Solanum lycopersicum: one gene and its partner. The protein of the gene in region 1 interacts with the protein of each later gene in a pairwise test. Links are inferred from orthologs where the notes say so. Each region holds a gene or a part of one and is shown in the gene's direction. Other genes may lie near its edges.

Region 1 (5,274 bases):
TACTTGGATCTTCCATTGGTCATCTAATAGTCCGTATGAATTTGGACATCGATTCAGAGTATTTTATTTAACATTTGTATATCTAGAAACTGTAAGAAGCAGTAGAAATCACAAGATTTTATGTTATGAAGTACTTGAAAGTGTTTGAAAAAATAGCATCAAGGATGTGGCCTAGTGGTCAATAAAGTGGTTGAGAACCTTGAGGTTCTCGGGTTCAGAACTCAGTGCAGACCAAACAATCGCTAAGTGACTCTTCCCATCTGTCCTAGCCTTGGTGGACAGAGTTATCTAACTTGTTGTGGGTGGGAGATGACAAATATCTTGTGGAATTAGTCGAGGTGCTCGAAAGCTGGTCCGGACACCACTCTCATCGAAAAAATAAATAAATAATTGTTTGAAAATTTTAAATTTAAAGAAAAAGTCGTTTGACTTTTCACTTAGTAAAACTGCCTTATTTAAATGTATGTACAACTTGTTAATGGTTAGTAATGAGATACACAAAAGTCAGAGTTCTTGATGAAGTAGCTATGACAAGTCACTCTGATGCTGGAGAGACACAATTGACTGTCTTGTGCTAGTGATGTTTGTAAGTAGTAAATCAAGATGCCTTGTCTGCTTTTATCCATCAATACAAGTATGAAAGGCTTTACTTACATTGGTATGTGTCATGTTTATGTTTATCGTGGAGATACTTGGGCAACAATGTAGATAGATTTTGTGAAGGTCATGTTTGATGCATTGACTACCGACTATCCTTATGTTGAGAAACTGGTTCTTATGAGCCGAAACTGTGTGCTCTTGCCTTCTATGGATAGACATTCACTACATGTATAATTTTTGGTCGTTGTACATGTTGATTGATTAAATGTTTCCTTTACTCGAATGGTGAAAGCGTTAAATGCTTCTCCTCTTTCAGCCACCAACTCTTTTAACTTGCTTATATTTACTATTCTTCTGCAACTTTATCATGTACTGCTCTTGCTATAAATTGTTCTGGATAGGTGAGTTGATTTCCCATTATATGACTTTAAATCCTTTTTTTTCCCTATATAGAATCATCAGGCTGTCGATCCAAACCAACATCACATGTCTTCATATTACGCCCCTCCAAATTCTACAGTTGCACCATGGAGCGCTCATGCTGCAGATAGCTATGCCAGGGAAAATGGAGTTGTCTCACATTCTGGTTATGATCATGACCAACAAGCTGCACCGCCTTCAAGGAATGTTCAAGATGGATTGAATGTTGCAGCTAGTGCTACTACACCAAGTTCCGGTGCCACAAATGTACAGCAGGATTACAGTAGCTATGGAACCTATCAAAGTACTGATCCTTATGGATACAACAATACAGGATATGCTGCTTACTATAATGGCTATCAACAACAACCTAATCAATCCTATCCTCAGCCATCAGGAGCATATCAAAATACAGGTGCTCCTTATCAGCCCCTTTCCTCATTACAGAATACAGGGTCTTATGCTGGGCCTGCAAGTTATTCAAGCACTTACTACAATCCTGGTGATTACCAGACATCTGGAGGTTACACAAGTGGTGCTTACAATAACCAGACGAACGCATGGCATGAAGGACAATATGCAACATACACTTCCCATCAGTATCCAAGCTACAATTCTGATTCAAATGCCGCATACAGTTCTACCACAGCTCCTGCTGCTTCACAGTATCAACAACAGTACAAGCAATGGGCCGATTATTACAACCATACACAAAATGATGTCCCCTGTGCTCCTGGAACAGAAAATATTTCCGTTTCTAATGTATCCAGTCTGAGTTGCCCTGTTCCGGCGGGTTACCCAGCTTCAGGTGTCCAGGCTCCGGCATCTCATGCTCCACCTGGCAAGCCAGAATCTGGTTTGCCCGCATTGTCTGCGGTGCAGGTTTTTCCTTTACATGCAATTCACAAATGAGTTACTCTGTTGGAGTTTTACTTATAATAGATAATTTTATGCATGCGTAGAGACATAACTTTTATGCATGCGTCGAGACTCCTATTTGAATATCAGTTGTCATGTAATTCACTTAGGGGGTGTTCGGATAGACTTTTTAAAGTAGCTTATAAGCTAGAAGCCATAAGTTTGGAATAGCCTTTTGGCTTTTAGCTTGTTTTTGTGCTTTTTCAGCCTAAAAGAAAGTGGTTAAAAGCACTTCTTCTTTCCCGAACACCTCCAAAAATAAAGAAGAGCTTAAAAGCCTAAAACTACTTAGAATAAGTCCATCCAAACATCCTCTTAAAATTCAAAACCATGTTAAGCAATCAGAGAGACGGAAAAGATGGTGATAAATCATGTATCACACTCACATGTTAGGTTAATTTGCTATTTTAGTTGTTCTGTTGTTCAACAAGCTGCTAAAGATCTGGTAAGCAATGCCTTGTATGCTCTTTTAACTCTGCTGTCTAAATATCATTCGTGTTTATTATACGTTTGATAGTCTGGATATTCAACTTCTATCTTGTGCGAGTTGTTGAGTGCCAGCTACTCACAGAAGAAGAGATGTTATCTACTGTCATTGCAGTCAGTGCCTCATTTTTTTTTGCTTTTCAATACTCAGTACACTGAGAAAAGCAACTTCATTTCTCTTTCCCTTCATGTTATGTGTGGAGTTCTTTTTGATTTGCCTAATGAACTTAACTTTTAATTTTTTTTGGGTCAGTCTCCTGCTGTAGGTGGAAACGTTCATGATAGTTACTGGAAACATTGGGCTCCCTCTTTCCAAAATCAGCAGCCTGATCCAGTACAGTCTTATGGTCAAAAGCCTTTAGACATAACCCCTTCTCATGAAAACCTTCAACAAAGTTCTTCATGTCCCCAAGGACCAAGCACACAATATCAAGCCTCTTATCAGATGCCCTATAATTATCAGTCATCCTTGCCCACTATGCAGCAAACTGTTACACCAGGCGATACAGGTAGTGCTAGCAAACTACAGATTCCCACAAACCCTAGAATAACTTCAACATTGACCATGGGTTTACCAAAGCTGGATATCCAAAGCTCTACAACTAATGCAGCGGCCAAACCTGCATATGTCAGCGTTTCCTTACCAAAAACTAATGAAAAAGTATCATCTAATGCTGCAGAGAATGCTCTCAAGGTTAAACACCTTTAACTTTGATCATTTCAGTAAAACATGCAATCATAAATTGTGTTTTGTAACATAACTTTGCATAGTTGACGGACAAAGTTCAAATGCTTGACTAAGATGATAGATTTTTCACTTGCTTCTTGATAGTCTTTCATCTTGATAGTCAATTAGAAGATATCTGTGCTAGTGTTCCTTTATGTTTGTTGTAAGCTTCTCTTAGACCAGCCACCTCTTAGGGGATTGCACCGGGTATGTTGTTATAAGATTCTCTTTGAATTGGTCAAGTGATGCTTGTTATGAGTAGTCACTATGGATAATTTGTAGGGGAAAATTCGAAAACCCCAATGCATTAACGAATTCGAGAGGAGTACATATTCGAATGGAGCTAACAAACTCTTTTGTGTGCTTACTATCTTTTTTTTTTGAGAAAAGTGTTACTTCATGCTTACTATCTTTTGTACTTTATTTGCATCTACTTGGTGCCATTAACAAAACAACTCACTTCATCTTAAACCAAATTACCAATTGGAGGGGCCAGCCATTCTCTAAACTTCCATATATGCATTGATTAGACTTCTTTACACCCTTGGTTGAGTAGCACCTCTTAGGACCTTTCTCATATAACTTGCCAAAGTTTTTCTTCAAAAATAATGATATGATGCTAATTAAATCCTATTAAAGCAAATGATCCTATGCGCTTGACAAGAATGATCTAGTACTAATATAGCCCTCTAAATAACTCCATTAGTCTAATATGTAGAAGTGCATTTGGGAAGTGACTTGTCAAGTGTATTTGGTGTGGTATCATTTTATCAATACTAGCAAGACTAACCTAATTTAATATTCTGGAGTTCCATATTTTCGCTGATTTATGTGCTTTTAGTAAGGAAGGTTTATATTATGGGTGATATTGGCGGAATAGTTATGCAGAGGATATTTTGATAACCAGTGAATCAGTAGCTTGGGTGGTAGGTTGTGTATTTCTTTAATACGATGTAGTTAGGGCTTTTAAAGGCACTCACCACCATTGGTCTATCAGGAAAACCTTCAGAGTTGTTCCAATGAGTCGCATGTGGATAAGCTCACATGTTCGTTTTGGATAAAACAATTGCATTCCAAGCTTGGCGAAGATGGGTTATTTTATAATCATTTTCTTGGTCATTTAAATGTGTCTAGTGAACAAATCTACTGAGACGTCTGCGAGTTCTGTGTAAATGTATATTCTATTATGGTAAAAGCCGGACAGAGTTTTTTTGAACTTTTATTGCATTATCTTTTAGGTGTAGCTGTGAGAATAGAAATAGCCAACTTACCTTTTCACGGTCGACATCGTTACAACTTCTGAAGTGAAAAGCAACATGCTTGCTTGCTAAAGTTAAATCTATTAATTACTAATGTTGGTGACGATATTTGGTTCAAGTTAAAAAAAAAAGAATCTGAGATGGAAGTTGGAAAAGGTTATCTGGAAGTCTATTGTGTTTGAACATGAATTTCACTTGGGAAAAAGTTAAAGCTGTGTGAGTCTGCAATTATTTCTCTTGAAATACTCTTAACGGGTTTTTCAGTTTGGGATTCTCTTTTTCAAGTTGATGTTGAAACAATGATATAGTTATTAATGGCTAAACTGGTAGGTTTGTGTCAACTTGGTTTAATCACTTGTACAGGAAATTTCGATATTGGTAGGACTTCTGATTTTGCTGAACTATTAAGGAGTAAGGAGCAGCTTTTTTTAATATGATACTTTGACGCTGCAATCTTCTATCTTGTTATGATTGACAGTTCAACTGTTAGGTTTTATTGATGAAATACTGCTCCTTGGTTGTGTTCTGTACTTTTGTCGCCACACAATCTGAGAAACCTTGGTATTTTATTCTAGTGGTAACTAATAGTTGGGAATTGGGATAATGGTGACATGTCATAACATGGTATTTATTCTTGCATTGCATCAAATTAATGTCAGATTATTTATTCCGTGCTTAATTAAAGTGATCTTTCTGTTGTCTGCAGCCTGATACTTTTCCTAAATCACTTTGTGGTTATGTTGAAAGGGCTTTGGCTCGTTGCAAGGATGATACTCAAATGGTGGCATCCCAAGCTGTCATGAAGGAGGTATCTTAGTGTATTTTTGAGATTTTCTCTCGGTCGTTTTCCAGTTCTTGCCATGT
Region 2 (5,802 bases), on another chromosome or scaffold:
TTATATATGAAAGTAATATAGTTTCTGTGGGATACAACAATGACTATGAGCCTAAGTGATGATACAACGTCACGTCCACGCTGCCATAATTTTGCAGTAGAAAATAAAATAACATCACATTTTGGAAGTCGCAAGACAAAAAAATAATGTGATACTTACAGAATATTGCTTTCTTGTTGGGCAATACCAATAACATGTCTGACTTCAAATGAGTGAGATTTGTTCCTTGGTAACATTCAAGAATTGACAAGTCAGTTCACTCTTTTTGCTCAAAAAATTCGCTTAACTCAAGGTACTTTGGCAATATTATAGGCAACCTTTGAATCTCGGTAACAATTTTCTGTTAGACCTAGATGAAGACATCAAATCATATGCTTTTATTCATCGTTCCTTCAATGCAACGACTGTCAAGATCTAATGGAAGTCCCCGTTACTATTTACAGGGACATAAACATCATTTGTCAAGAGCCAAGACAGTCCACAAGCTATATCAAACCCTTTCATAGTGCCAATGATTTTATCCTCATATTCAGGAACAACACTAGCATTGTCAATTATGTTTTGAAAAAACAATTAGTAGTGGTATATCGATATTAAAAATGACTCTGTTAGTTCGACTTCTTATGCAAATAGTAAAAAATGACATCCACATACTGCACGATGCATCAAACAAGTGTATCTTTTTTATCAATTTATTAGTATATATTCATGTATTAATCAAAACATAAAAGTGGAAATGAATTTACCTCATCAGTCCAACACTTATTGTGTTGAGACATTTTGTAGAATCAGTTCTTATTCTTTGAAAATGCAACTACAAAATCAAGTTGATTAAAATCAAGTTTTGAATAATTGTCTAAGTAGTGATCGTCCTTGTCTCTTTTACAATTGTGTAATCATTATAAATAATTATTTAGTGGACAACAAGAAGAATACTAATAATAGTTGAACGACCTTATTTTTTTTACATGATACTTGTAAAAACTCTCATTTATTCATTGTGAGAAGGATGACATTAATTCATCTGGACCCCGCCATCAATGTCAAAATCTTTAAATGGATATTGTCGCTTCACATCATAACTGACGACATTGACTTTTTTCTCTTTCTTTTTTACTTTCGCTTTTTCAATCTGTTTCTTCTCCTCTTTTTACTTCTTTTTGTCCTTCTATTTCTCCTTCTCCTTCTTCTTATCCTTCTCCTTTTGCTTCTCCTTCTCCTTCTCTTCCTTTGCCTTCTTCTCCTTATCTTTCTTCTCACTAATTATAGAAAGTGTTTGAAAAATTCTCTTCCTTTGCCTTCTTCTCCTTCTCTTTCTTCTCACTAATTATAGAAAGTGTTTGAAAAATAATTTTTTTCAACTTCCTACACTTCAAAGGCTGTGAAATTTTCTAGGATCTTTGAACATCAATATTATGAGACATTTTCTTAGAAATATCAGTGAGTTTTTTTAACACAACTAATGAAATAATTATATTGTTGCTCACATTCTTTGCATAGACAAAAAGAGCATTTGATGTTAGAAGAGGAAGCAAGACCAATAAAAAGATTGAGTTGTTGTCATGGATGAATCTTAAAATATCATTTCATCAACAAGTTAAATAAAAAAAGATTGAGAGTTTACAATTCATTATAAACTAATAATAACATTATGCTGCCACATATAAATCTTATGTTGCCACGGATGAATCATATGTTGACACAAATATGTCTATTGTTGCCGAAAATGAATTTTTTATTTTATTTTTTTAAAATGATTTGAATTAAATTATAGAAGTTAAAAAAATAAAAAGAAATTTGAATTTTTTTTTTAAATATTAATCAAATTTACTTTATTACCTTTTTAAGAAAATCTAAATAGATCTTGATGATTCTGTCACCGAAAACAAAAATCAAAATTTATTTGACCTCTTTCATTTAATTTGGAGAATAGAAAGAGGGTTTATCATTGTCGTGAGTGGAGAAGAAAGACATAAACCCCTCTGGGTTTCTGCTCAAAGCGAAAAGCTTCAATTGAATTGAAGAAGAAAGAATGGCTTCAGCCTATTTAAGCATGGGAGAAGCTCACAGACGAATTACTGACTTCCTCAATCGCTTCTCCGATGCTGTTTCATCTCAAGATGCCAAGTCTCTATGCCTTATTTTCTCTATCTCTTCAAATTCTTCTTTTCTCCTTTCTCTATCCGATGCCCTCATCACTTTCCAGGTAACTGCGCGTTCAATTGTCCATTTTGATTGTTGTAGACACTTGTATGAATTAAACCTTCTAGTTTTCTTTTACAACTTAGGGCTTGAATCGGATTGATGATTCCTTTTTCTGGATGAAACTGCAGTAATTGCTTTGCTACTCATATTTCTACTGGGCTAAATTTCGCATTTGGGTTTCTTATACCTCTTTTTTGCTGATGGGACAGTAACATAGTGGGATAGATGGATGTAGTGTGATATATGAATGGATGTTTTTGTAGATTGAAAAGACTCCTTAATTGAAATTCATGTCTCTAAAACAGGATGCTAGCAGAGTAATGAGACAAACTGATAGGTACTCTCAGTATGCAGATATACTACTCCCTCTATTTCGTGCTTTACATAGTTATCGTCTCAAAAACTTGGTTGAATCTTACCAGGCTTTTGAAAAAGCTGCCAAGTAAGTTTAAACTTATTCTCTCCTTTATCCTATATCCCTTTTCCCGAATTTTCTGGGGAAATATTGATTTTGTGGACATTGCAGTGCATTTACTCAAGAGTTTCGCAACTGGGAATCTGCTTGGGCTTTGGAAGCCCTTTATGTGATTGCCTATGAAACTAGAATTCTAGCAGAAAGGGTAAGAGCTATTCTTGTTATATTTGGATTAGTAGAAGATTTATTGAGTTGACTAATATATGTTTTTGAATGTGTAGGCAGATAGAGAGTTGGCTTCTAATGGAAAAACTCCTGAGAAGTTGAAAGGGGCTGGCTCATTTCTCATGAAAGTGTTTGGAGTCCTTGCTGGAAAAGGATCAAAACGTGTTGGAGCTTTGTACGTGACTTGCCAGCTTTTCAAAATTTATTTCAAGCTCGGAACAGTTCACTTGTGTAAAAGTGTTACAAGAAGCATTGAAACTGCCCGCATTTTCGATTTCGAGGAGTTTCCTCTTAGGGATAAGGTTACTTACATGTATTATACTGGACGGTTGGAGGTGTACAATGAAAATTTCTCTGCTGCTGATCATAAGCTATCATATGCTCTAAGCCATTGCAATCCTCGAAAAGAAAGAAATATAAGGTCTGTATAGATTCCTTTTATGTTTCGGGATTACTTTGTTCCACACATGAAAAGATATAATGGTATGGAGATTATTGGATGAATATCCGGCAATGATACTAATTTCTGCAATAAATGTTGGATTTTTACATTTAAGGTGTCGGTTTTCTTTTTCAAACAGGAAACCAGACACTATTACTGAGTGCATTGATTTCATCTCATCGATTTTAGGCTTTTCTTTTCAGGATGATACTAAAATATCTGATACCTGTGAAGCTCTCAATAGGCATCTTACCTAAAACTTCGCTTTTGGAGAAGTACAATTTGACTGAGGTGTTGCATGTCTTCTGGTTCATATTTAATTTATTCAGCTTGAAATGTTGACATTTTTTTAGAATAGTCTAATGCATGCATTTACTTGGCAATAGCTAGTCTAAAGAAGGTATGGCTGCTGATTTCTGTTTTCGGTTGAACATCACGGAGATTATTATGCTGTTGAAATGGAGCCAAGAAATATTGAATTGTCATACTTCCCAAGGATTTCATGAAAGGGTTTTCTGTTTATTAACTATAAGTGCTAGACATTAAATCTGTTTTCTTCGTTTAGCTTTCAGACTCTTTTAACGTTTGAAGTTAATTCATTCAAGTTTCTGAGTTTTACTGACAAAAAAATCTGTTAAAGTTACTGATGTAGCTTACTAGAGTTGCATATTCCATTTCTAAGGGTCCAAAGGGATTATTGATCTTCATTTCTCCATCATCTCCTCATTTCTGTTATCTTTCTTCCTTAATTTCCCTATGCTCTGAGATCCTCAAAATATTCCTATTCAGTTTATTGTTTTAATATCCTTTAGTGCTTAAACATGCACCTTGTGTATGGATAAGTAAGAGGTGTCGTTTACTTTAACACTGAAAAGCTGCTACTGTTTTACACCTTGGATTAAGTTGACTACTAGGATTTTGTAGGCTTTTAGTTAGCAGTCGAGACCTATCTAGTCACGTTACTATAAAATGAACTGGCTCGCAAGTTGGCCTGACCGCCATCGTCATAAAACAAAATTACTATAAAGTAAACTGGCCTGAGATATGCATTGAGTGCTGTTCAAGATCCATTGACAAGATATATTGGTATACAATTATACAAGTTTGTGACATACATTTGAAATTTCTTTCTTTGGAAATAAGTCTACCAAGATTTTGATTCCATTTCCAATGGAATCTAATAGTGATGCTTCCCTGATTTAACCTTGTGTTGAAATTCTCTTTAAAATGATTTTATGACATTTGACAATATTCTATATATTGTATCTTCTACTGTCACAAATTTCAAGAGTCGGAATCAATTTCACTTTCATCTTTAAGTAAAGTTCTCCTTTAAACTAAAGTTCTCCTTTTAACTAAAGTTCAGCCTCCAATGCATCAACAAAATTGGTAGTGATTGGTACACCTAGACGGAGGTTTCTAGGAAGTAAGTGTCCACAGCGTCGCATACAAACTATTTGGCCTGAGAAACATTGTTTTTTTTTTCCTTTTCTGTCCGTCCTTAAAAAAATAATGACGGTGTTCTGCGGCTTGCTCACACGTCGATTATTCCACTGGGTACTAGCTACCTCCCACCAAAACAAGTACCGGGTACCTCTGCCAAGGCTTAGGCAGAAGATAAAGAGAAAAACCCAGTGTTATCTTGTCTCTGCTTAGTTTGAACCTTGATTGCCAAGGTTTTCACCCACTTCATTGAATGCTAAGTCACACCTTTGAATGCAAATTATTTTTCCGTCTTTTTTCTTTCAATTGTCTTGATGATGTTAATTGCTTTTCCCCCTTTTTCATTTCTTTATTTTTTTCCTTTTTTGTCTATTCTGTATTGACATACTTGTCTACCTTCAGTAGTATTTTCTCTTGCTTCGTTTGTTCCTGGTTTTCTGACATGAAATAATCGTGTCGCATGCCATATTCTCTTTCTTGGAGCTCATCCCTGGAAAGTTAAAGAAATTGTTGGCATTCTACTATTAACTTGCATCAGCTGTATTTCTAGTTTAGAAAGACCTCAACACTGCTCTATGAGAAGCACCTGGGTCCTCTTTGCGCTATTCAACTTATTTTTGAAAAATTAAAAGGATATTTGGTCCCATATTCGAAGTTCATTGTGCCCTCAAACTCTTTCCTTCTTTCTTTCTTCCATTTTTGGATTTCTTTTAGGACTGTGTTTTAAAGCAAAGGATTCATCTGAAGAGGGTAAATTCTGAGAAGTTTGTCCAATGTAGAAGATCAATGTATTCAAACTATAAATCTAAGTTTCCTATTCAAAAAAGATGAAGAGGAAACAGTTTTCTTGTTTGATGATTTGGTTGCTATCATGGGAAATATCATATAGTCTTCTAGTGTTTTAATACAAGGAGGTGCATGCCCTATGAATCGAATGTGTGATTGTTTACTTTATGATGAGTAGATGTAGAAAACAATAGTTTCATGTTGTGCATCTCACTCTCCTTTTCCTCTTTGAATTTATTTTTACAGTACAACAACATTGTGCTTGCCCTTAGAAGGGGGGATCTAC

Evidence for each region.
Region 2: the proteins of SAC3 family protein A (region 1) and enhanced ethylene response protein 5 interact in binary tests that used the Arabidopsis thaliana proteins (3 or more experiments, as listed by UniProt). The link is inferred for Solanum lycopersicum from reciprocal best matches to the Arabidopsis thaliana genes SAC3A and EER5.

Annotation. Positions count from the first base shown.
Region 1 is NC_090804.1:67,957,611-67,962,884, reverse strand, and holds part of SAC3 family protein A, read left to right. Parts: intron 1-1,053; coding exon 1,054-1,902; intron 1,903-2,677; coding exon 2,678-3,118; intron 3,119-5,116; coding exon 5,117-5,218; intron 5,219-5,274. UniProt on the Arabidopsis thaliana protein: Component of the TREX-2 complex (transcription and export complex 2), a muliprotein complex that functions in docking export-competent ribonucleoprotein particles (mRNPs) to the nuclear entrance of the nuclear pore complex (nuclear basket).
Region 2 is NC_090806.1:47,705,544-47,711,345, reverse strand, and holds the start of enhanced ethylene response protein 5, read left to right. Parts: upstream 1-1,845; 5' UTR 1,846-2,032; coding exon 2,033-2,206; intron 2,207-2,510; coding exon 2,511-2,647; intron 2,648-2,731; coding exon 2,732-2,825; intron 2,826-2,901; coding exon 2,902-3,266; intron 3,267-3,490; coding exon 3,491-3,578; intron 3,579-5,762; coding exon 5,763-5,802. UniProt on the Arabidopsis thaliana protein: Involved in the regulation of ethylene response. Probable TREX-2 component required for nuclear RNA export.